2 linked regions of the Arabidopsis thaliana genome follow. The protein of the gene in region 1 interacts with the protein of each later gene in a pairwise test. Each region holds a gene or a part of one and is shown in the gene's direction. Other genes may lie near its edges.

Region 1 (10,528 bases):
AGGTTTCTGCATATTCTCCGATCCATTCCTTGCTTTCGCTATTTACTTATTTCTCAACATTTATTGTTACAATTATTAATTATTCATTTATTTGTATCTTTTAACGTGTGCCAAGTAAATTGATTTTGTGTCCAGGTTCAAGTGCAAGAAATACTAGTATAAAACTAAATAATGCTTATATCATATGTTTGGTCTGACGATACCTTGATGGTGAAATCTCTTCGATATCTGGTTCTTATTATGAACCATTTTCATATATATTAAATAAAAATCAATACATATATACACGTTGAAGTAATTTTTATATGGACTTAAAGAATTGTGTCGAGTATGTGGAGTGAGTCAGCATAAGTCGGGATAATTTTGTCTGCTTCCTCGCAAATAATTAAACGGTGATGTGCATATTTAACTAACTAAATGTATGTTTTTTTATCATATAGTTTATGGGCATCGCGTAATATACAAATCAGATGACAACGCTGAAGGAGGCACTCATTGATCGTGAGATTGCTTACTGTTGACCAAAAAATAAGTGTTAGTGAATTAGAATAATCTTACGTAATGAAGTCCCCACATACGGTGATGTGAGTATATATGAATTGCAATAGATAATAAAGTAAATAGTCGAAGTTAATTATATACAACAACCAAAAAAAAATAACGCAAAGATAATTATATACTACATTTATGAAATTCCAGCAGAAACAAAAAAACATGGTTTCAACCTTCAACTGTTAAAATTATTGATTTAATCCTACAATTTCAGGTTCATTGATCCATCACTACTATTATCAAATGTTGATTCTGCACTAAAAAAAAAGATTATAAACCATTAACCCAAACTTTCCCTGGGTTGAAAAGATAAATAATGGAACAACGTGAATAATCTGTAGAAGTCCATGATGTAATCATTGATCAAACCCGATCACTACAGGCTTTTCAAACACGTTTAAGGTAGTAACAACAAATTAGTATTTTTTAAAAGATTAGACACAAATTGGCTCCGTTACACAGCCTATGAAGTATGAACAGTTCCAAGACATTTAGCTGCAGTATCAACAACACTAATTATATATCCTCGAAAAGCCCAATAAATGCTTCTATACATATTAAATGGCCCAAAGTTCTTTGTTCTTGTATATTATTAGCCCTCACGACGGAACTATTAATCAATTTAATCTCATAAGAAAGCCCAAATGTATTCCCTTTATTTTATTGGCCCAAATGCTTTGCTATTTATTTTTTTGGGTCCGAGATAGAATTCAATAAACTATTTGTGTTATAATAATTATTCAGCCTAGTGTTGGATTTAGACCCAAAACAAAAATAACATCATCCCTACCAAAAATCATAAACTTAGAATAAGAAATTCAATGTTCCCATGTCCAATAGTTTTAATAAAAACGTATAAGATGTGAGTTGATCGATATAAAAAAGCAATATAGATATTGGAACTTTGTAGACATTATTACAATAATTAATCCAATTTTTTAAGTCTGTACATCAAGGCATTGCGTATGAGTGGTGCCATTGCAATCCATATAAGCTACATTCTATTGTTTCTCAATTTTCAACTATTTAAATAGATACCCAATAGCCATTATATTAAATTGACACTGAGAAGTGCGTGATGATTCTTGATTTGTTATGTGGATCTTTTCTTTGGTTGACAACAACAACAAGAAAAAAAAAAATTTAAACAATAATTTTTTTGTGTAAAATTTTAAAAATGCAAACATCTCATAATTTGCTTTAAAGGGAAACTACTCGTTTAAAATAAAAGGAAAGGTAACTTTGGTAATGGAAACATTTTGTTATATAATTTGAGAAATACTACTAGTATTCAATAATTCACCGGAAAGTGGAGAGAGCCAGCAGAGCAGATTCAATTATAAATTATGAAAAAATTAGAATGATTAGTTATGTGAGTATATATAATTTAAATATATTGAAAAAGAGAAGACGAGATCAATTCTCTCTAACAAACTTGTACCAACTGTTGCATTCTTATGTCACCAAAACGAAGACCTTATCTTCATTCTTACATTTCTTATATATTGTAATCAGTGTTGCTCGACAACTCACGAGGCGTGTAGGCGTGTGTTATTCTAAAAAACTGTAGTTATGGAAGAAAATCCAAAGCAGTCATTAGATAAAACTGGTTTTAGATTAAAACTAAGCTAAGTTATGGCCTATGGGTTAGTTGTGAAATAAAAATTGGGTTTGGTCTAATTTCGGCCAAAAAAACATTACCATAAGAGAAAAAGTCAAAAGAGAAGGGAATGTTTGACCTCTCGCCTCTCGTGCTCCTCTGTAAGGCGGCTTTGTCCTCTCTGCGACTGACTGACTTCTTCTGACGGCTCCGTCCACCGTCGTCTCTTCTTCCGTTACGACTTTTTCTTCCAATTAAATAACTTTAACCAAAGGAAAATTTGAAACGCCAGCTCCTCTCTCCGTGTAACAAACCAACAACTACAACCAACAAGAGCTTAGAGCTCTCTTTCTTTCTTTCTTCTTCCTTTTCTCTTTTCCATTCCTAAACAAAAGTCTTTCTTCCTCATCAATGGCTGTTACTCTTGATTCTCCTTCTCCGGCGAGAAAACGTCGCCCTTTGGTCGTCGGGTCATTCGAATCTCCGAAGCTTTCTTCAGATACCAAACTGACTCGGTCTCTGTTTCTGGCGTCTCATGAGATTTCTTCTATGCAGCCTCTCCCATTCATTCTCCGACGCAATTCTCTCTCCCTCATTCGCAAAGTGAAGATATTAGCTTCCGTCTTCGATGAGCTTCTTCTCCCTCGTTCCCAACTTGTCGTCTACTCTCAATCCGCTCATCTCTGCTTCGAAGAAATGCAAATCGTTATGCAACGTATCAAGTCTTTGATCGATGACTGTTCTCGTGTTAGCAAACTCTGGCTACTCTTGCAGATCGACATCGTTGCCTTCAACTTTCACGAGCTTGTCACCGATTTATCCACCGTTCTTGATATTTTACCGCTCCATGACTTTGACCTCAGCGACGACGCCCAAGATCTCATCTCTCTCCTTACAAAACAATGCTCCGATTCTGTTCAGTTCGTCGACGCCCGCGACGTTGCTCTCCGTCGTAAAGTCACCGATACAATCGCCGGGATCAAGCACCAGATCTCACCGGATCACTCTACTCTCATCAAGATTTTCAACGACCTTGGTTTATCCGATTCTGCTAGTTTGACCGACGAAATTCAGAGATTGGAAGACGAGATTCAGGATCAGATCGACGACAGATCCAAATCCGCAGCCGCCTCTCTTATCGGACTCGTCCGTTACTCTAAGTGCGTCTTATACGGTCCCTCCACGCCGGCTCCAGATTTCCGCCGCCACCAATCCTTATCTGACGCTAACATCCCCGCGGATTTCCGGTGTCCGATCACCCTCGAGCTGATGCGGGATCCGGTGGTGGTTGCCACCGGTCAAACATACGATAGAGAGTCCATCGATCTTTGGATCCAATCGGGGCATAACACGTGTCCGAAAACAGGTCAAGTCCTCAAACACACCAGCCTCGTACCTAACCGTGCCTTGAAGAACCTCATCGTTTTGTGGTGCCGCGATCAGAAGATACCGTTCGAATTATACGGTGACGGCGGCGGAGAACCTGCGCCGTGCAAGGAGGCGGTGGAGTTTACGAAGATGATGGTTTCGTTTCTCATCGAGAAGCTCTCCGTGGCAGATTCTAACGGTGTCGTGTTCGAGCTCCGGGCGCTCGCAAAGTCAGATACTGTGGCCCGAGCCTGCATAGCCGAGGCTGGAGCCATACCCAAGCTGGTTCGTTATCTAGCCACAGAGTGCCCGAGCCTTCAGATAAACGCCGTTACGACGATCCTAAACCTATCCATCCTGGAACAGAACAAAACGAGGATCATGGAAACTGACGGAGCTTTAAACGGCGTCATCGAGGTTCTTCGTTCGGGTGCCACGTGGGAGGCTAAGGCTAACGCAGCCGCGACATTGTTCAGTTTGGCGGGCGTCTCGGCATACAGAAGAAGACTCGGGAGAAAAGCACGTGTCGTAAGCGGATTGGTTGACTTGGCTAAGCAGGGCCCCACCAGCTCTAAGAGAGACGCGCTCGTGGCGATCCTAAACCTGGTGGCTGAGAGAGAGAACGTGGGGAGGTTCGTTGAGGCTGGGGTAATGGGAGCCGCAGGAGATGCATTCCAGGAGCTACCGGAGGAAGCGGTGGCTGTCGTGGAGGCGGTGGTCAGGAGGGGAGGACTCATGGCGGTTTCTGCCGCTTTCAGTTTGATTCGACTTTTGGGGGAGGTGATGAGAGAAGGAGCGGATACCACAAGGGAGAGTGCGGCGGCAACGCTGGTCACGATGTGTCGGAAAGGAGGGTCGGAGCTAGTGGCGGAGATGGCGGCTATTCCAGGGATAGAGAGGGTTATATGGGAGATGATAGGAGCTGGAACGGCCAGGGGAGGGAGGAAAGCGGCGTCATTGATGAGATATCTAAGACGGTGGGCCGCCGGAGATACCCATAACACGGCGGCGGAAACGCAGAGCATTGTAGTGCCAACGCCAAGTAGGATTTTTAGTCCAGTTTTATGATTTTTCATTTTTTTGTTTTCCCCTCTTCTTCTTGTGTAAAGTTTAAATGTTTTTTTTTTCTTTCCTGATGATTTGAAAAGAAATTGATTCTTTTACAAAGTATTAAAAGCTGCAATTGTAAATGTAAATTCGAGAAAAGAACGAGAGATTTTTTCCCTTTTACTGGATGAACTTTACACAGTGTTATGATGTTGTTTACTAATCTCTCATAACTCATAACTAGTGTTTTGACAGGAACTAATAAAAATCTTGAAAGCATATTAGAGTTATCATATGTGTGTGAATAAAGAGACAAAAGAATTGGCACAAAATTTCAACACAAAAGACAGAGCAAATCCACAAGAGATATACACACAAGCATGTTCCTAAAGGAGTGATGATGATTGGAAATGGAACTGATTGCAAATAGCAACAATCTTTCTTCCTAGAGAAGCAAACCTTTTTGTTTGTTGTTTTTTTACGTTTTGGATCTTTCGAAGCATTAAATAAAATATCTTCTTCTTCCTTTCCCTCTTTTTTAAACGGTTAATTTTATTACAGAACTATTACAAAACCAGAAAACACATTTGAGGAAAAGAGTGACGGTGTTGAGAATTTATGAAGCGGAGTGAGAGACAAGAAATATGTTCAAACCAAAGAGTGAGGTTGGAGTTTTTCATCGAAGCAGAGTAGTTGATGTTTAAGGAAAAGCTGTTCTGTAACTTTTTACAACCATCAGTTAACCATGGCAGAGAACAAATACATAGAGATGTAACGTGTTATTTTTTGTTTGTTTGTTTAAACGTGTATAAAATGACCATGAATAAGTTGGCAAATTTGTGTCTCTGTAATATTATTATTTTTGGTTTCAATTTGACAGATTCTTTAGTTGGAGTTTAAAATTGATGAAGAGGAAAATATAAGAGGTGCTATCGTTAAGTGAAACTATTGGGCCGAAAACATATAGGCCCATTTTAAAATTTTGGTTTGTTTTGCAAGAGATCCCAGATCTCGAAGCGTGCGATAATGTTTGAAAAAAGCAGGTTTCTCTCTTCTTTATTTGTTGTCAAACCCAAACACCTACTTACGGAAACTGTAACACAATAAAGTGAGTGACCACTTTCTTTTTTTACACTATCGATGATACAACTTTTTAATATCATCGTGGTGCACATTTTAAAAGGATTACAATGACCACGATTAAACTAGTAATTAGTACATATACAAACTAGTAATTACTCTATTATTTATTTCTTTGGTACGAACACTACTTGTGTATTACTATTACTAAAACATATAATAAAAGTGTCAGTGTCAAATGTCAATGTAATTTAATTTAGGGGAAAATGAAATGGCCAACATAATCTAACACAAAATCAATGAAAATGGAGAGAGCATCTCACTCACCTTATAATAACCTTTATATTTTCCACGTATGTGGGCCCCCTCACATAAACCTCTCTTTCCTTTATAAATTCTCCACTCTTCACACTCTCACTTTTGTTCATGTACCAAAGAAGTCCCCAACAAACACAAAATAATCAACAGAGAGAGTCAGAGAGATAATGGGTAATAACTATCGGTTTAAGCTATCGGAGTTAATCCCTAACGCTTGGTTTTACAAACTTAGAGACATGTCCAAATCCAAGAAGAAGAATCTTCAGAGCCAACCAAATAGCACCACCTCCAAGAAGAAACACCACGCAGTCCCTACTCCTACGTCCACAACGCCACTCAGTCCTAGGCCTCCTAGGCGCCCTTCTCACTCTTCCAAAGCGCCACCCTCCCATCCTCCCAGGAAGTCCTCCGGGAACCGTCTTCGTCACCGAGCCACCGTCGACTCTAAGTCTTCCACGACTTCCGGCGACAGCACTACCACAGAAACAGGTTCTTTCTCACCGGACTTTCGCTCGGATCAAGTTCTCCTCCCCGACGAGTCATTAACGGGCTCCTGGCACAGCCCTTGCAGCTCCAAGTTATCCAAAACCGCAACCTTTACGCCGCCGCCGGAACTCGAACTCCGGCCCATCATTACCAAAACGGCCGCCACCGCACGGAAAACGGCGGTGAATTCTCCGGCGGGGGTGAGACTTAGAATGCGGTCGCCGCGGATCTCGGTGAGCAGCAGCGCAAGAAGAAGCGGGTCGTCGGCTCGGCGGAGCAGGGCGGTGGTGAAGGCGTCGGTGGATCCGAAGAGAGACTTTAAGGAGTCGATGGAGGAGATGATCGCTGAGAACAAGATAAGAGCGACAAAGGATCTAGAGGAGCTTTTGGCTTGCTATCTCTGTCTCAATTCAGACGAATATCACGCTATTATCATCAATGTCTTCAAGCAAATCTGGCTTGATCTTAATCTTCCACCACCCCATTCCAAATAATTTTATTATTAAGAAAAAAACATCTTCTTATATAGTATTAATTACTCCTTAATAATTAATCGCTCTACTGAATAAAAATGTAAATATATATGATGTTGATGATGATGATTCTTGTACTAACTATATTTATATGTAATAATGGTCTAGAGAGAGCCTACAGTCTTGTACTTGCATAACGGCCATCGTTGATGATATCAAGTACAGGAATTTTCTATCCGGATTGGTACTCTTCTACGAATCTTACTTTGCACGGACAAGCAAGTGTTACTTTAAATCAAATTTTGAATGTGGACGACTATAAACCTACTTTTGCGTCATCAATCATACTATATATACAGCTCACTCTTCAAGTCTAAATTTTTTAAAAGAGATTTAAAAATGATTGGAAACTCATTCATTGTGATCATGAGTTAGCAAGTGTTCATGTTGACAACAATTACTCTGCATCACGTTATAGACTAAGACTAATAGTGAACGTTTTATATTTAGTGTATCCATTATATTAGACCTACGATGCCGACAACTCATTAAAACAGCATCTGCGCCTATTTTCAGACCTAACTTTGGATATGTGTGTACGTGTGCATTTCTCAATTTCACACACATCTATATTTATTTATTTATATGTGTAGTTAACTTTTTAAAAAATAAAAAAAAATTGACCACGACGTATTGTTTTGTATAATATTTATATGTATATGCATGCAGTGCATAACACATACAAACAGTGCGACAAGCAAGAAGAAAACAAAACATTTTTACTTTTAGGCATATAAGTGCCAAAGAAAACAAAAAATCCAATTGGCTGTTTTTTATTTATTTATATCAGTGATGGGTGACAAATGACGAGAATATATAGGAAAAGGTAACATATCGGAAAAAAAAAAATTATATGAATATATGTAGATATTATAGTAAAATAAAATAAAATTAGTGATGAATGGTTCTTACTGGCAAACTTTTGCTTCTGTGTTTTATGGTTGTATCGTTATCATGATATTGATGTCATTTTGTTTTATGTAAATCTTCCATGAGATTTTGGTTTAATAGAGTTAAACATCAATCTTAAAAGAAAATTGTGGAATTCTTAAAATATAAAAATAGGAACTGAAAAGGAATCTCACGCGACATTAAACTGACAAAGCATATTTTAGGTTTTATGGGTTTCCAAGGAAAGAAGCAGATTACAAAACGAAACTTGCTCGTTGATTTCTCACCGTTATAAAATAAATAAATAAAAACATATACTGTATTATCAAACTCCTCAATAATTTTTTTTGCCAAGATTACTCTTAGATCCTTAGGTATTGTTGTAATATCTTTACATTTCATTTTCAATGAAATTAACATTCATAGAAAAAAAAGAAAAAACTGTATATCATGAAGATTATATTCAATTATAAATGTTCACATTCAAACTAGACTAATAATTAGTAGATATGAGTAAATTTAGAATTATGTGGTAAGATTTCTATTGAAATACATTACAAAACATCAACCTATATATTGAATAATAATAATAATAAATCATATACGTGTGCGGAGTTAAGTACTGTTGCACAAAAGTGAATATTACACTGACTGAAGTTCAAAACAGGGACCAAAAAAGGTGAAGTAAAAAGTACCCAAAATCTATCTCTCTTTTTTTCGATACGATAATACACACTCATACAAAAAAAGGTTCAAAAGCTTTGTCGGGCACGCCGGCCATGGACTACAACGAATTTTTTGTAAAATTGTTAAGAAAAATTACAACAATACTTTTTTATATAAATAAAAATATAAGTACAACAATACTTTAAATTAAATTGTTTGATATCATCGCATGGTAGTAAGAGTACACAATAATAAGTATGAGACGTTTATACTCCCAGATTTTTAATTTAAGTTTCTTGCTTAAAACATGGACTTGTGATGTACGGGTACAAAGACAACAATTTACAAAGATCTGAGATACCTATTAGAAACAAATTATAAATGTATAATAATGTGTTTCTTTACTGGTGGTGGCCAGTGTCCGTGTGATGTACGGGTACCCCCACCACTATGAATTTTCAAAATCAGCATTTCTAAATATAATATAATATTGATATTTGGACTTGACTATACCTATATCAACATACAATTAATTTACTTGTTTCCCGGTAAATAGTATACTTCGAAAATAAAACCATTCCACAACGAAATGATGTGAAAACTCTCACTTGGACATAAATTATGATCCCTTTGTAAAAAATTAAGAAAGAGTATCTTGTTAGAACTGCGACGTATCATAGACGCGTTTTCTATTTGGAATGATATATAAAAGTTGTTTTTATTCGTTTGTCTCTCCTTACTTATCACTAGCACATTTTTAGATAAAGTTGTAAGTAATCCACAAGGCACAACTTTCTTTTTCCGTGAAATGTTTTTGTAAGTAGGGCCATTTCATAATTACACAAGATAGAGAAGTACATGTCAACGAATTTATTATGTTTTATTTTTAACATATAAAACAATTAGAATTGTAAAGTAAATAGCAACCAAGCCGAATGTTGCAAAAAAGATTGAGGAGTATATGACACTGTTAAAACGGAACTGTATAAACCTAACCGAGTGACAAAAATTATGTACATTACATATTATGATATGAAGTGAAAGAATCAAACCCAAAACTGAATTGGACAACGTTACCGTGGTTATTTGGATGTAAGCTACGTACGAACCATCTCTGCATTAAATAAATTGGAAGAAGAGTTATATATAGACTAGTTATGTAGAAATTATACGTGTTATAATAATTTAAGAAGTTGATCGAGATTTCGAAGAAGATGTAATAATGGCGAAGAATTGTCGGTGAGCCGCAAGTGGAGACTCGGTCAACGACCATTTAACTGAACTTGCCTTGCGCGCGATCCGACATTATCACCGGAGATTCTGCGTCTTGTGACCTTTGTCTCTCCGCCGTCCATATTTTCATTTTGAATCAAATAAAACAAGTACACGACACACCAAAAACAAAACTACTATTACATTGGGTTTTCGTTTTGCAAGAAAGTCACCGAGGTTCACAGTTTCTCAGTGAATTTAGTCGAGCGGTTTTTTTTGGCTATTGATGATGGTACATGGCGTGCTGAGTTATTAGTATACCTACAAAACATTTTCTTTTTTGAACAAAACAAGTTTGAAATACCATTTTTTAAATTGTTTTGTCTTCATATCGTTAATTGGGATGATTGAAATCAGTTACCGTTTGTATGACTTGGCAAACATTAAGCCGTACCTAGCAAACATTATGTGTGTCCTTTTCGGGTCCTAATAATCACTGCATGAATTATTATTCTTATACTACTCTTTATATATCAATTAAAGGATGAGGCCGAAGGCAAAATCGAGTTACCACTTTGCACGTGTTACGGACTTCGTGCATTTCACATCAGAACTTTTTTTTCTCCTCTTTATTCATCGCACAACAGTTTAACAAGTTTATGACATCTAATGCAAGAGTAACAGAAACAACAAAACAGAGGCCATTTTGTATTATGTTATTTATTATTTTACCTATCATCGCTGCGTCAATTGTCAAATCTCTTTATGGGATTTG
Region 2 (13,005 bases), on another chromosome or scaffold:
TAGGTGGTCCAGGTGACATCAAGACCATGGCCGTTAAAGGTAGCCGCACAGGGTGGATCAACATGAGCCATAACTGGGGAGCTTCGTACCAAGCCTTTTCTTCTCTCTACGGTCAGTCTCTCTCGTTCCGGCTCACCTCTTACACCACTCGTCAGACCATTTACGCTTATAATGCTGCTCCGGCAAGCTGGAGCGCGGGCAAGACCTACCAGAGCAAGGCTAATTTTAACTAATTTAGGTCATATTCAATTCCGAGAAACCGGTTTATTTGAATATACGGTTTTGCCATTTGTTGTTGAGTCCGATCGATCGAGAGGTTGATCCTTTTTTTCTAATGAATAACTCCCTTTGGTTATATGGTAGTCATTAATTCTTGTATATCCATCATTGGGTTGAGGAAAATTTGTTGATTTTTATGTGTGTTTAAAATTTTTGAATTATCTTCTCATTCATATATTAGCATCAAAATGATTGATGGGATCATTGGTACTTTTTTTCTTATCAGAAAATGACTTTTCTAATTCAAGAGTTATCAATAAATATGACATAACGATTAGACGATATGATCATGATTCGCCAATGTATGATACTCACTTCAGTTTAATATAAAGATCGTTTGACAAATTTTGATGCGAATTAAGAGAGTTTGTATACAATAATAGTACATTCTTAGAAAATAATTGCTGTTTTATAATTCTGATCTATTTAATACTTAAAATTAAATTTGACTAGAGTAAAAATGAAAAATTTGTAAAAGAACGTTATACACAAACATTGAAACGTCAGTTATTTAAAAAATAGAAAATTATATATTCTATAAAACGTACACTTTACTCAAAACAATCTCACGCCGCCTACAGTTTCATACCCCAAGAAATCATATGGAGTAGCATAAAAACTATATACATATATACATAAATATATCTATCAAATAAAAGCAAACCTGTCCCTTCAATCCAAAGCCTTCACCAAGCTCTAAAAAGAAAAGAGAAACTCATTTCTCATGATCGACTCTTCCTCTACACTTCTTCATCGCATCTTCTCATCACCTCAACATTCAAACGTGAACAATTACTCCACCAATATCGAAAATGGTAACACTAACACTCTATCCTCCCTCTATTCAACTAATAATAATCGTATTATTCCTCTTCCTTCCCTCTCATCTAGAGGGTTCGACTTCTACTACTACTACTCAAGAAGCTCTCAATGAATCCTCAAGGCTTCTTGATCTCATTCTAAGAGATTACACTCTCAACTTCTTCAAGAACCAACATTATTCTATCAAGACCGGTGTTATTCGGCGTGTTCATCTCCCGTCTGACTACTCCGGCATAAAACTTGACGCCGTTAGGTTCCGGTGTGGGAGTCTCCGACGATACGGAGCAAAAATCGAAGAATTCAATATTGGCGTTGGAGCTATTCTTGAGCCGTGTGGTGAACGTCTTTTGGTTGTGAGACAAAGCTTGGGATCAAAGTGGTCCGATATATATTACAAAAACTATGATCTCTCCGGTTATAGACTTGTGTCTCCGGTTCTAGGGCTCTTAGCTTATAACGCATTAAACGATGTTGTTTTAGGGAATAACGTGAGTAGCTCTTATCAGATAAGTCTCCTCCTAGCCCGTACTAAAGATCCATCCAACGTTGATTTTGGGAACGTTTCTGGACCGTCGGTGGTAGAGAGAACGTTCTTGAATAAGCCAATGTGCGCTACTTTTGAACTTGATGGAAAAGTAACGCTTGCCGCCGAAGTGAAGCCGTTTGTGTGCGCCGTTAAAACCAATGGACATTTTGGTTTAGTGGTGACGGATGATCCAAAATCGAATGGTGGAGGAGAAAAGGAGATGAAGAAGGAGAAGATCGGACGGTGGAGGAAGGTTGTTGGAGGGCTTGTTGGGTCTGTGACGGTGGGGGTGGTGCTTTTAGGGCTGGTGGTGGCGGCTGCTGTAGTGACGGCAAAGAAAAGGAGAAGAAGGGCAAAAAGGGAAGAAATGGAGAGAAAAGCTTATGAAGAAGAAGCTTTTAGAGTAGTGTCAATGGTGGGGCATTCTAGGGCTTTCGTTGCTTCTGCTACAAGGACTTCTCCAGGTTTCATGGAATATGAGTTTGTTCCTAATTAATTAATTATATTTACGTGTGATTCCGTTTTTGTGGATTGTTTTCTTTTTTTTTTCTTTTGTAAAAACGGTTTTAATTTATGTTAAAATGCATGTTGTTGGGGGTTTTGGGACATATATATATATTTCGTTGGTGACAAGTAAGGTACGTATGGTGATGATTTTTTCTTTCTTTCACGGTGATGAATTTACAAGGTAACACCGCTAGTGGCCTAGTAGTAAGTAGTAACTATTAAAGAAAATCAAATGAGCAAAGTTACATTCAAAGTCATTGATAAACAATAAAACATGGTCATTTTTTACACCAAAAAAAACAACATGATCGTTGCCTACACGTTAATTAACGAGGCATCAAGAATTATAATTTGATGAAATATGCCGTCTGGCGTCTTCATAAGAATACAATATGTTTGATGAAAATCTACCTCTAATCAAATGGTAGTTTTTTTTTTTTTTTGAGGAGTCACATAGCTAGGAAACGTTTTATGCTAGTAATATCACACACGGAAACAATTACGAACCCATGTGTACAAGTGTTTAGGCTTTGAGACCTTAATGAAGTGCCCAATGAGAATTATTTTTAGGTCCACCAAACTCACAATATTATATGGCCCGTACATTAAATCACTAAAACTTAGTATCGTGTCACTAATAGTATCTCATTGTTCTCTGATTAATGGCCGCATTATTATAAGTTTTTTTTTGTGTCAAAAGCATTATTATAAGTTGAGAAGTCGTTTTCATAGGACCACAAATTGTTTCAGATGTGAGATGTCTTAAATCTTAGGCTTAAGAGAACGACAATTCTGTCCCTCTTTTCTTTGTTCGACCAACTCTGTCTTTGTCCCTCTTTATTTTGTTTCTTTCATTTTTCTATACGAACGAATATTTTTGATGTCATTGCGTAAAACAAAAGGGAATTTGTACATAACTACATAAAAAGGGAGAAATGGAAAGTAGTTTTTCCATATTGGTGAAGGCGTGCATTATTCTCTTTTTCATTTAATAATATGCAAAATCCTCTTTTAATTTGTATTTTTTATTTTTGTTTATAGAATATATTATGTGCTATTATTTTAGTTTTTTTTGTGTCATGTATTATTGGCATTATTAAAAATATTTGATCTAATCCTATTACGATATAAACTACATGCAACATATGCAATTACAACGACCAAGGATTCCATTGTTATGATGAAATATTATTTTAGTTTTTGTAATTAATTGCAGTTTTTTTTTTGCAAAAACTTAAGACTACTTGGATGGCTATTGGCTCCAATATGCCAAGCCGGAGGAAAACCAGAAGATTTAAGAATATATTTTTTTAAACGATGAAGTGGAAAAATAATTTTTTTAACGTCCAACATGTATGTTCAGAAGATTTGTAATTCTGAACGGAACTATTACATGACGTTACAAAAAACCATGCCACAAGAGTATCCGGACTTAACAACGTTTCACAACACATCAATTTTTTTTTTTTCAGTTTTATGGATATTTCTGAAATTCTAGCTAAAAACTATTAGTATATATTAAAGTTCATATATCAAACTATTGTTTGTGTGCTATATTAACTTCATATCAAACTAGGAAAAATATGAAAGCATTTTTCTATCTATCAAATAATACTGCAATTAAATTATCAGAGTGTTACTGTTTTAAGGTTATATGACTAAGAAATGGTGCATCAAAGCTGTATCACATTTTGTCCAAAAAAATTTAACTGTATCACGTAATTGAGTATTTAATATTTTAAAAGAATAACTAATTATATTTGTTCTTTACCAAAAGAAGAAAACAAATATACTATATTTCTATACTATTAAATAGTATTATCAATTAGGTGTTAATACTATTTGTTAAGTGGGCGTTAGAGGATTAGGTGTGTCTACCGGTCCTGTCGTTAAAGGTGGGAAGATATTTTATTTTCCTCATTCTTTTTCAAAATTTCAACTAATTTTTAAGTTCAAGTTGTTGATCACTTATTAGGTCTTAAATCATTGTCACGAGAAGGAAAATAAAAGTGTTTTTAATTTTTATTTTAAGTTTACATTTTATATACATACATATACACGTATTTATGATTTTTGTAAAGCACGTTGTTAACGTGCACTTTTTTCATAACTTTACGTCAAGGTATATATCAGCATATTGTGGAATCAAACATATATATAGTAGCAGTTTTCTAGACTAAAGTAATTCAGATTAATTGTAAAGATAACAATCACCGTATAAAACAATCAACGTCCGTGTGTTTGTATTCACATATCTGATGAAAATTAGTAATTCTAGTTTTCAGTCTTTCGATTAACAATACAAAAATAATACTTTCAATATAATTTGATCTATGTAAAAATAATATATGGTATGGCCGGACCAGACCCGTGTATAACAAACATTGTTTTAAATGTATTTTGTATACAAATAAGACAAAATAATCTATAAACAAATAATGTATATTTTTAGAAAAGAATGGAGTGAAAAACAATTAAAGGGGAAAGAAATCAGGACAGCTTTATATAGGTTGATTTCATCTGACAATTCTCTCTCTCTCTCTTTTTCTAATCATACGAACACAATCTGCTTCAAGAATTAGGGTTTTGATCAGACACAAAAAGTATCTCTCTCCGGTCTTGTGTCAAGGTTATGCAAGAAGCGGCACTAGGTATGATGGGAGCCACCGTAGGCGGAGACGGAGACACCGCGGTCGTGGCGGAGCAGAATAGACAGTTGAAAGGTGAGATAGCGACACATCCGATGTATGAGCAATTATTAGCCGCACACGTGGCGTGTTTAAGAGTAGCTACTCCAATAGATCAACTTCCGATCATTGAAGCTCAGCTTTCTCAATCTCATCATCTTCTCCGTTCTTACGCTTCCACGGCCGTTGGATACCATCATGATCGTCACGAGCTCGATAATTTCTTGGTACGTTTGAATATAAATTTATTAGTTATATTTTAAAAAATAATCTTGTTTGGTTAAATTACTTACAAGTTCTGTTTCTATCTTTTTTCATTTGAAAGTTTTTTTTTGATGGTTTCTAGTGGACTAACTTTGAATGAAGTTATGATTACTAACCAATCTCTGTTGGGAAATTATGTTTCAAACAAATTATGTTTTTTTCAATGATTTTCGTGTTTTACTTTTTACAAGATCGTTGGGAGTTTTATCGATCGAAGATGTAAACCTTTTGTCAATATATCAACAATTTCTATAAATTTTATAATTACTAATTCCTCTTGTGGGAAGTTATACTTCAAACAAATTATGTTTTTTTCCAATGATTTAAGTTATTGGTATTTTTTTACCTGATTTTTGTGAAGAAGTGGTTTTGTTCAACTTTCATGGAAATTTATGTATCTTCACACGAATGTTCAAATGTATAATACACACACATAGATGTAGATATGGTTTTTTGTATAGTTAGGTGCTAAATTTCACATAGAGTGAGTCAATGTTAAATGTCATTTTGTAATTAAATTGAAATTCTATTTAAACTTTGAATATTATCATGTTAGTTACGATTGATTTTCTACTCCGACCTAAAATTTGCAATTGCATTAAAGTTGGAATTGATATTGCAACTATAATTTTGGAATTAGCTTGTGAAATGTTCCAAAAAAATTCGGTTTTATTTATATTTATTTAAGTTAGGTAGAAAATAGGACTATATAATGATCTAACCGCTCAAAACACACCACACCAGAAGCACATATTTATATGTGTGTATGCATATATGTGGAAAATGTTTACACATTGAATAATTATATGAAATGTGAGAGGATATATAAAACATTTAACAATTATAATTAATTGGAAACAGGCACAATATGTAATGGTGTTGTGTAGCTTCAAAGAACAGCTGCAACAGCACGTGAGGGTTCATGCCGTCGAAGCTGTTATGGCTTGCCGTGAAATTGAGAACAACCTTCATTCTCTTACAGGTTCTTTTCTTTTCCACTTTTTTAATGGTATTTTTTATAACCCAATTAAAAAACATAACTTCATGATAATTACATGTTATTATATATACCACATAGCTATAGAATCAGAAAGTACTTAAGATATATATAATTAAAATTCCTGTTAAAAATTAGCGATAGTTAAAACAAATAATAGAGTTAGGTATATCTAAAGGTTCTTGCTGATCATACCAGATATGAACAACTAGTAAACATATTAAATGTAAGGTGTTGGAAGATGATCAGGAAGAGTATATTATATGCCCACACAATAAGAAATAGAGATTTTATTTGTGCTTATATAGTTATATTATATGATTAGTCTAAAGATGAAATTTCTTAATTATACGAAATTATTAAAAATATTTATTTTTGCACTGATGACCACGTAAAGCGTGGGATGTATTGATTAGGATTATTGTATGCGTAAGGGCATATCAGGCTTGAGCCTAAGTTTGGGCTTGGGCTTGACGTCTAAATCTTGTAGTTTGACTGTTGGAGTAACATTTCGTTTAAAACGTTCTGTATTCTTGTAGGAGCAACTTTAGGAGAAGGGTCGGGTGCGACTATGTCGGAGGATGAGGATGATCTTCCGATGGATTTCTCGTCAGATAATTCCGGCGTTGATTTTAGCGGCGGCCACGATATGACGGGATTTGGTCCGTTGCTACCGACTGAATCGGAAAGATCCCTTATGGAAAGAGTCAGACAAGAACTCAAACTAGAACTCAAACAGGTATAATTAACTAATATGTTATGATTCACAATAGTAATACAGTTATTTTACTATTTATTTTCTTGTTATGACGTTTGTTTATTTTTCGGATAAGGGTTTTAAATCGAGAATCGAAGATGTAAGAGAAGAGATAATGAGGAAGAGAAGGGCTGGGAAATTGCCAGGAGACACAACTACTGTCTTGAAAAATTGGTGGCAACAACATTGCAAATGGCCTTACCCTACGGTGAGTACTCTCTATATTTTACGAACAACAAATATAGTTTCCGTCTAATTGTTTGTTTGGGTTTACGTTTTCATGAAATAATATGATAATCATTATAACATGAAACAACAAATGAAGATAGATATGTAAATGCAAAGAAACAATCAAGACCCATTTTGGTTACACTCAAAGTCACAACATGCATTTTTTTTCTATTCTTCAAACATACTGAATTTGTTACTAATACTCAAAAACACTATACATCTCTCTCCCGTTCAATATTTGGCACAAGCCAAAAAGGTGGACTACAGTCTAAAGTTGCATGCTATAGTGGAAAAGAAATAGCCTTTGACGCTATCAGATCTGCACATGCATTGGCCTCTCTTCGTTGAAACTGAAACTGATTGTTTTTGTTTTCTTTCCTAAAATGTCATTAACAACAACAAATTTATAATGTAAAAAAATATGTGTCTTGAACAGGAAGATGACAAGGCAAAATTGGTGGAGGAGACAGGATTGCAGTTGAAGCAAATCAACAATTGGTTCATTAACCAACGCAAGAGGAATTGGCACAACAACTCTCACTCCCTCACTTCCTTGAAGTCCAAGCGCAAACACTAATCTCTTCTTACTATATTAGTTACTACCTCTACATATATTCATACTAATTACACTGCTAAGACATGCATGATACATACGTAATTCATGTTACTGATAATAACGAGGTGTGATCATTAATATCATGTACTTACTTAGCTTATTAGATCCACCGACTACTATATGATTTGTGCGTTGCGTGATTACTGGTTGTTACTAGATTGTAATTCATTTTGTTTGTATTGTGCATTCAAATTTATCTTTTTGGTAAGAACACTGATTTTGTAACGTGTTTTCCGTGGATGACTAGACCATCATTTGGAAATATAAAGTAATGATGCCGACAAAAAAGGCAGTGTTTTATAAAATATAAGCCATATCATAATATCTTTGGACCGATCAATGAAAGAAATCGTCCATAAAAATGGATTAGTTTAATTCCAGTTTAGATTATTGGTATTCTCAAAAACTAATTAACGTATAGTTTTCTAGTTCTTTATTTGATACCAAGATTTGTGTAACTTAATATTTTCAAACGAGTTTACAAACACAACTAGACCGAGAAATAGATATATGATGTATTCATTAAAAAAGAAAAAATAGCTCTTGAGATTGAGAACTTGGGATCTTACTATCTTAGAAAAGTCACCACATGCCGCCATCATTTGTCCACTACGATTCAGACAGAAGATCCGATCTGTTTATATATATATATATAAAAGTAAAGACATTACTTTATGCCTTATGGTAACCCCCGATTACTATAACATTAAACTACTAATTAATTTGACAAAAGAAGTTGGACTGACTGCTTAATAAATGAATGTTAGTGACATACGTATATATTTTCGATAACGTGTATGGTATTTAAGGGCAGGGGGATTTGTACATTTGGAGTTTTATATGCTTAATATATCAAATGTTGTATAGATCCAGATCTTTGGTTTAAACCTCATTAGTTTCGATGTCAAATCAATTACAATATATATAGAAACTTTGCAATTACAATATTTAGTACCAAAAATCGGTGGAATTATGTACATATGAATATGATATAAATCACTACATTAATTTGTAATTGAGATGTATCTGTATATTTATTGAAATGATACTATGTTTAAAGGGTTACCGATTCGTTAACGGGTTCTTTTGCTAAGTTAGCTCTTTGATCTCATAAGATTCGGATGCTTAATATAATATACGCATTTATAGTCGATAATTGTGAATTGTAAATTCAAAACAGTAACGTGTTTTAAGTGTTTTTTTCTTTTTCTTCGAACTTTTTAATTTTCACTATTAAAAAATAGTATGAGTAGTAGTTGACCAGAAAAAGGGTGGTAAAAAGAAAAAAAAGAGATTCTTTAATTAAAATTGCAACGAATAATACATATTTTAAATTCAGACACCCAATGAAGTGGAATCTCCTTTGTGTTTAACTAATAATTTCTCACGCCACCGCTTTCACAGATCTCTGTCTAAAATTCAGACAACAATAAACTATTTTAAACACACAAAACCACTACGAAACACAATAATTCATGTTTAGGGTGATCTGTCACATATTATATTCATATATTGAAATAATTTTTTGTTATTCCTACTAACACATTTTTTTCAATGACATTTCCACGAAATAAAATTTATAAAGTCTTCTTATATTTACTGAATAAAAGTTCTACATTATGCTATTAAAAGTGTATAAAGTAACAACAAATTTATACATAATAACAAGTTTTCTTATAAAAATATTAATAGCATTTTTTTTTATCCATAGAACTATTTTTATCATATAATTTTAAAAACGGGATAACTTGTTTATTTTATGTTAAATTTAAGTTAACTAGTTGTATAAGTACTAATGAAAACATTTTCTTAAATTCAATAACAAAAATTTATCACTACTCCAATTATCTACACATGTTTTGCTTAATTTTTGGTAATGTCACCTAAATTTAACAATTTCCTAAAATATTCATGAAAAAAAACTCATGGGTCACAAATCTCAAATAAGAAACGATGGGTGGTCAAAAGAAAAAAACTAAAAAGATTATTGCTTCCCCGAGAAATTGGGATAAAAAGAAGCAACACCGATCACAACGTCTCCCTATACCATCTCCTTCAGATCCACACACTCTCTCTTATATCTCTCCGGCGAAAACTTTCCGATCACCGACAAAAAAAAAAAATGGTTGCAGACGCAAACGGTTCATCATCAAGCTCATTTAACTTCCTAATCTACGGTAAAACCGGATGGATCGGTGGTTTACTCGGTAAACTCTGCGAAGCTCAAGGAATCACTTACACTTACGGCTCCGGTCGTCTTCAAGATCGTCAATCGATCGTCGCCGACATCGAATCCGTGAAACCTAGCCACGTGTTCAACGCTGCTGGAGTCACCGGTCGTCCTAATGTTGATTGGTGCGAATCTCACAAAGTTGAGACGATTCGTACTAATGTCGCCGGAACCCTAACTCTCGCTGACATTTGCAGAGAGAAAGGACTTGTTCTGATCAATTACGCTACGGGTTGTATATTTGAGTATGATTCGGGTCATCCTCTCGGGTCGGGTATTGGATTCAAGGAGGAGGATACTCCTAATTTCACCGGATCTTTCTACTCTAAAACCAAAGCTATGGTGAGTAACTTTTTACATTTTCAATCCTTTTATTTATGAATAACTTCAGATTTGATCTGTATCTTTAGTTTCTTCTTTGAGTAAACCCCAAAATCTAAGATTTTTTAGTAAATTAAGTTCTGATTTGTGTGAATTGTTGAGGTTTTGACTTTTGAATGTAAGATTAGCTCTCAAATTGTTTCAGATGATTGTAGATTAGACTTGTGAGAGCTTCGTTAATTTACATTTTGACCCCTTTAGTTACTTAGGACATTATTCAGATTTGACCTGTTGCTAATTTGGTTTCAATACTTGTGATTGCTTAGGTCTTAGATGTTAAATTAGCAATAAAAATGTTCCAGATGAAATACTTTGACCAGAACTTATTGATTCATATAATCATTATCATGATAAGCTCGTGTATTGACTGTTGGAATCTGGTTTTGATCTTGGTGAATCATTCAGGTGGAGGAGCTGCTCAAGAACTATGAAAATGTATGCACGCTAAGAGTGCGAATGCCGATTTCATCGGATCTAACAAACCCGAGAAACTTCATCACGAAGATTGCTCGGTATGAGAAAGTTGTGGACATCCCAAACTCGATGACAATCCTCGATGAGCTTCTCCCGATATCAATCGAAATGGCGAAGAGGAACTTAACCGGGATCTACAATTTCACTAACCCGGGTGTTGTGAGCCACAACGAGATCTTGGAGATGTACAGAGACTACATTGACCCGAGTTTTACTTGGAAGAACTTCACATTGGAGGAACAAGCTAAAGTGATTGTGGCGCCAAGGAGTAACAATGAGCTTGATGCAACTAAGTTGAAGACTGAGTTCCCTGAGTTGATGTCTATCAAAGAGTCTCTGATCAAGTTCGTGTTTGAGCCCAACAAGAAGACTGAAGTTAAAGCTTGAAATGTGGTTTTGTAAGGTAAACGGTTCTTAACCCCAAAAAAACAAATCAAATGAAAGACAAAAAAAGTTTGGGTTTTTAAAAGAAGTATCTTTTTTTTTTTTGGGTTTATGGGCTGAAAAAATTGTTGTGTTTTTTGTATTTTATTTTTTTGTTTTTCTTTTTCCCAATGTTGTTGTATTGTTAAAATAAACTTTTGTTTCATTACAAATAAGAAATGTACTATTTTGCATTATTTACTCTTGTTAATCAAACTATCTTTCATCCAGAGGATCAGAAAGATCTTAGCCTTGGCCTAAAATATTACATTTGAAATCTGGATCGGAACGTAAATATGATAAACAAATGAAACATTGCCAGAGTTTCCAGCATATGCTGCATTGTTCAGCTAGCGTTTTTGGTAAACAGATGAATGTCACTACTCACTTCCTCAAACTTCAGTTTCCATTGGTCCCGGATCCAGTTTGAAACACCAAAATTGACGATCATTCCATTATTAAGATCAATTGATTTAGTTGGAATCTCCTTGAAATACTACTTTTCTTTGGATTTTGCAACACACTTTGCATCGTTATTGTAAGAGTGATGAAATTCACCTTTCAAAGCCGAATAACAGAGTATGTGTTTGATATGATCATGCATGAATGTGACTACACCATGTCATTTTTTAATACTTAAAATCACAATTTGACATAATCTATTCAAAAACTTCTTTTAAACATTCTCAGTCTCAAAATATGAGACAAAAGAAAAAAGAAAAAACTCGACCCACGCGCGTCTATTGGGCTCAGTTGTGGATTTTGCTTAAAAGTGGCCTAAATCCGTGGACTATAGCTGGCGTTTATGACGCAACGCGCAACGCGCGTGAGGACCGCACGTGGGATTTTCCTGAAACACTCTCAGGTTGTGAGAATTTTTTTTTGTTTGGTAATAAAAGTTCAGAGAGGGTTGTTTGATAAAAAGAAGGGAATGCAAAACTTCTACATAGTCCAATAGTCTGATGAAATTCACCTTTCAAAGCCGAATTACAGAATATGTGTTTGATATGATCATGCATGCATGTGAGTACACCATGTCATTTTTTTATACTTAAAATCACGATTTCACATAATCTATTCAAAAGCTTCTTATAAAACATTCTCAGTCTCAAAATATGAGACAAAAGAAAAAAGAAAAAATGACCAATAAATGATAAGAAATAGAGGATTAATTTACTTATAGGAAACATACGAGTTTTAGTTGAAGTCTAGACCATTAGCTAATTCCATTTCTTGTTCTAGATTTCTAGATTGGTGTGAGGCAATAGTTAAAAGATACAATACATATAGGGTTACATGATTTTGTTTTTCTCGAACATAACATTGTACTCTAACTTAGATCTAGATAGATCAACACAGTCTGTTCTATTCGGTCGAATTAATTATTGTCAAAAGAATACAAATCATATGTTAAAAGGAGACGAAGAGGAAGAGTGTACGTACCTTTGATTTCTTCTCTCTTTCATGTGTTTAATTAAGCTGAACCAGTTTCAGGGCAACTCTCCTTTGGCAGGTCATTTATAAATCGATCATCGGAAATTTTCGATATTCATATATGTATGTGTATATTTGGAAGTAAAGGACCTGCCAATGGAGAGGCGCCCTAAAACTAGTGAGTTTACATGTTTCTCTTCATCTCTATAAGATCCATATGAAGGCTTGTGTCTGTATTTATATATATATGCGTGTGTGGACATATACATATTTAAAGATAGATAAAGAATTTTGGACAAGGAATATTAGGTTTTTCCATGATGTCTCTTCATAATGCTGGACATCTAATTTTTGCAGCTTTTTATTTATCTGAACAC

The links.
Region 2: the proteins of OFP1 (region 1) and KNAT7 interact in a two-hybrid assay, tested with the Arabidopsis thaliana proteins (2 studies listed by BioGRID, with this or other methods).

The regions. Positions count from the first base shown.
Region 1 is NC_003076.8:318,420-328,947, forward strand, and holds OFP1 (ovate family protein 1), read left to right. Parts: upstream 1-6,008; 5' UTR 6,009-6,132; coding exon 6,133-6,945; 3' UTR 6,946-7,259; downstream 7,260-10,528. Other genes in the region: SAUR21 (ARM repeat superfamily protein), read left to right, coding at 2,564-4,588.
Region 2 is NC_003070.9:23,332,702-23,345,706, forward strand, and holds KNAT7 (homeobox knotted-like protein), read left to right. Parts: upstream 1-4,465; 5' UTR 4,466-4,766; coding exon 4,767-5,048; intron 5,049-5,946; coding exon 5,947-6,067; intron 6,068-6,621; coding exon 6,622-6,821; intron 6,822-6,915; coding exon 6,916-7,047; intron 7,048-7,506; coding exon 7,507-7,647; 3' UTR 7,648-7,991; downstream 7,992-13,005. Other genes in the region: EXPA18 (expansin A18), read left to right, coding at 1-233; AT1G62981 (transmembrane protein, putative (DUF1191)), read left to right, coding at 1,092-2,123; NRS/ER (nucleotide-rhamnose synthase/epimerase-reductase), read left to right, coding at 9,809-10,258, 10,703-11,158. UniProt on the Arabidopsis thaliana protein: May be involved in secondary cell wall biosynthesis.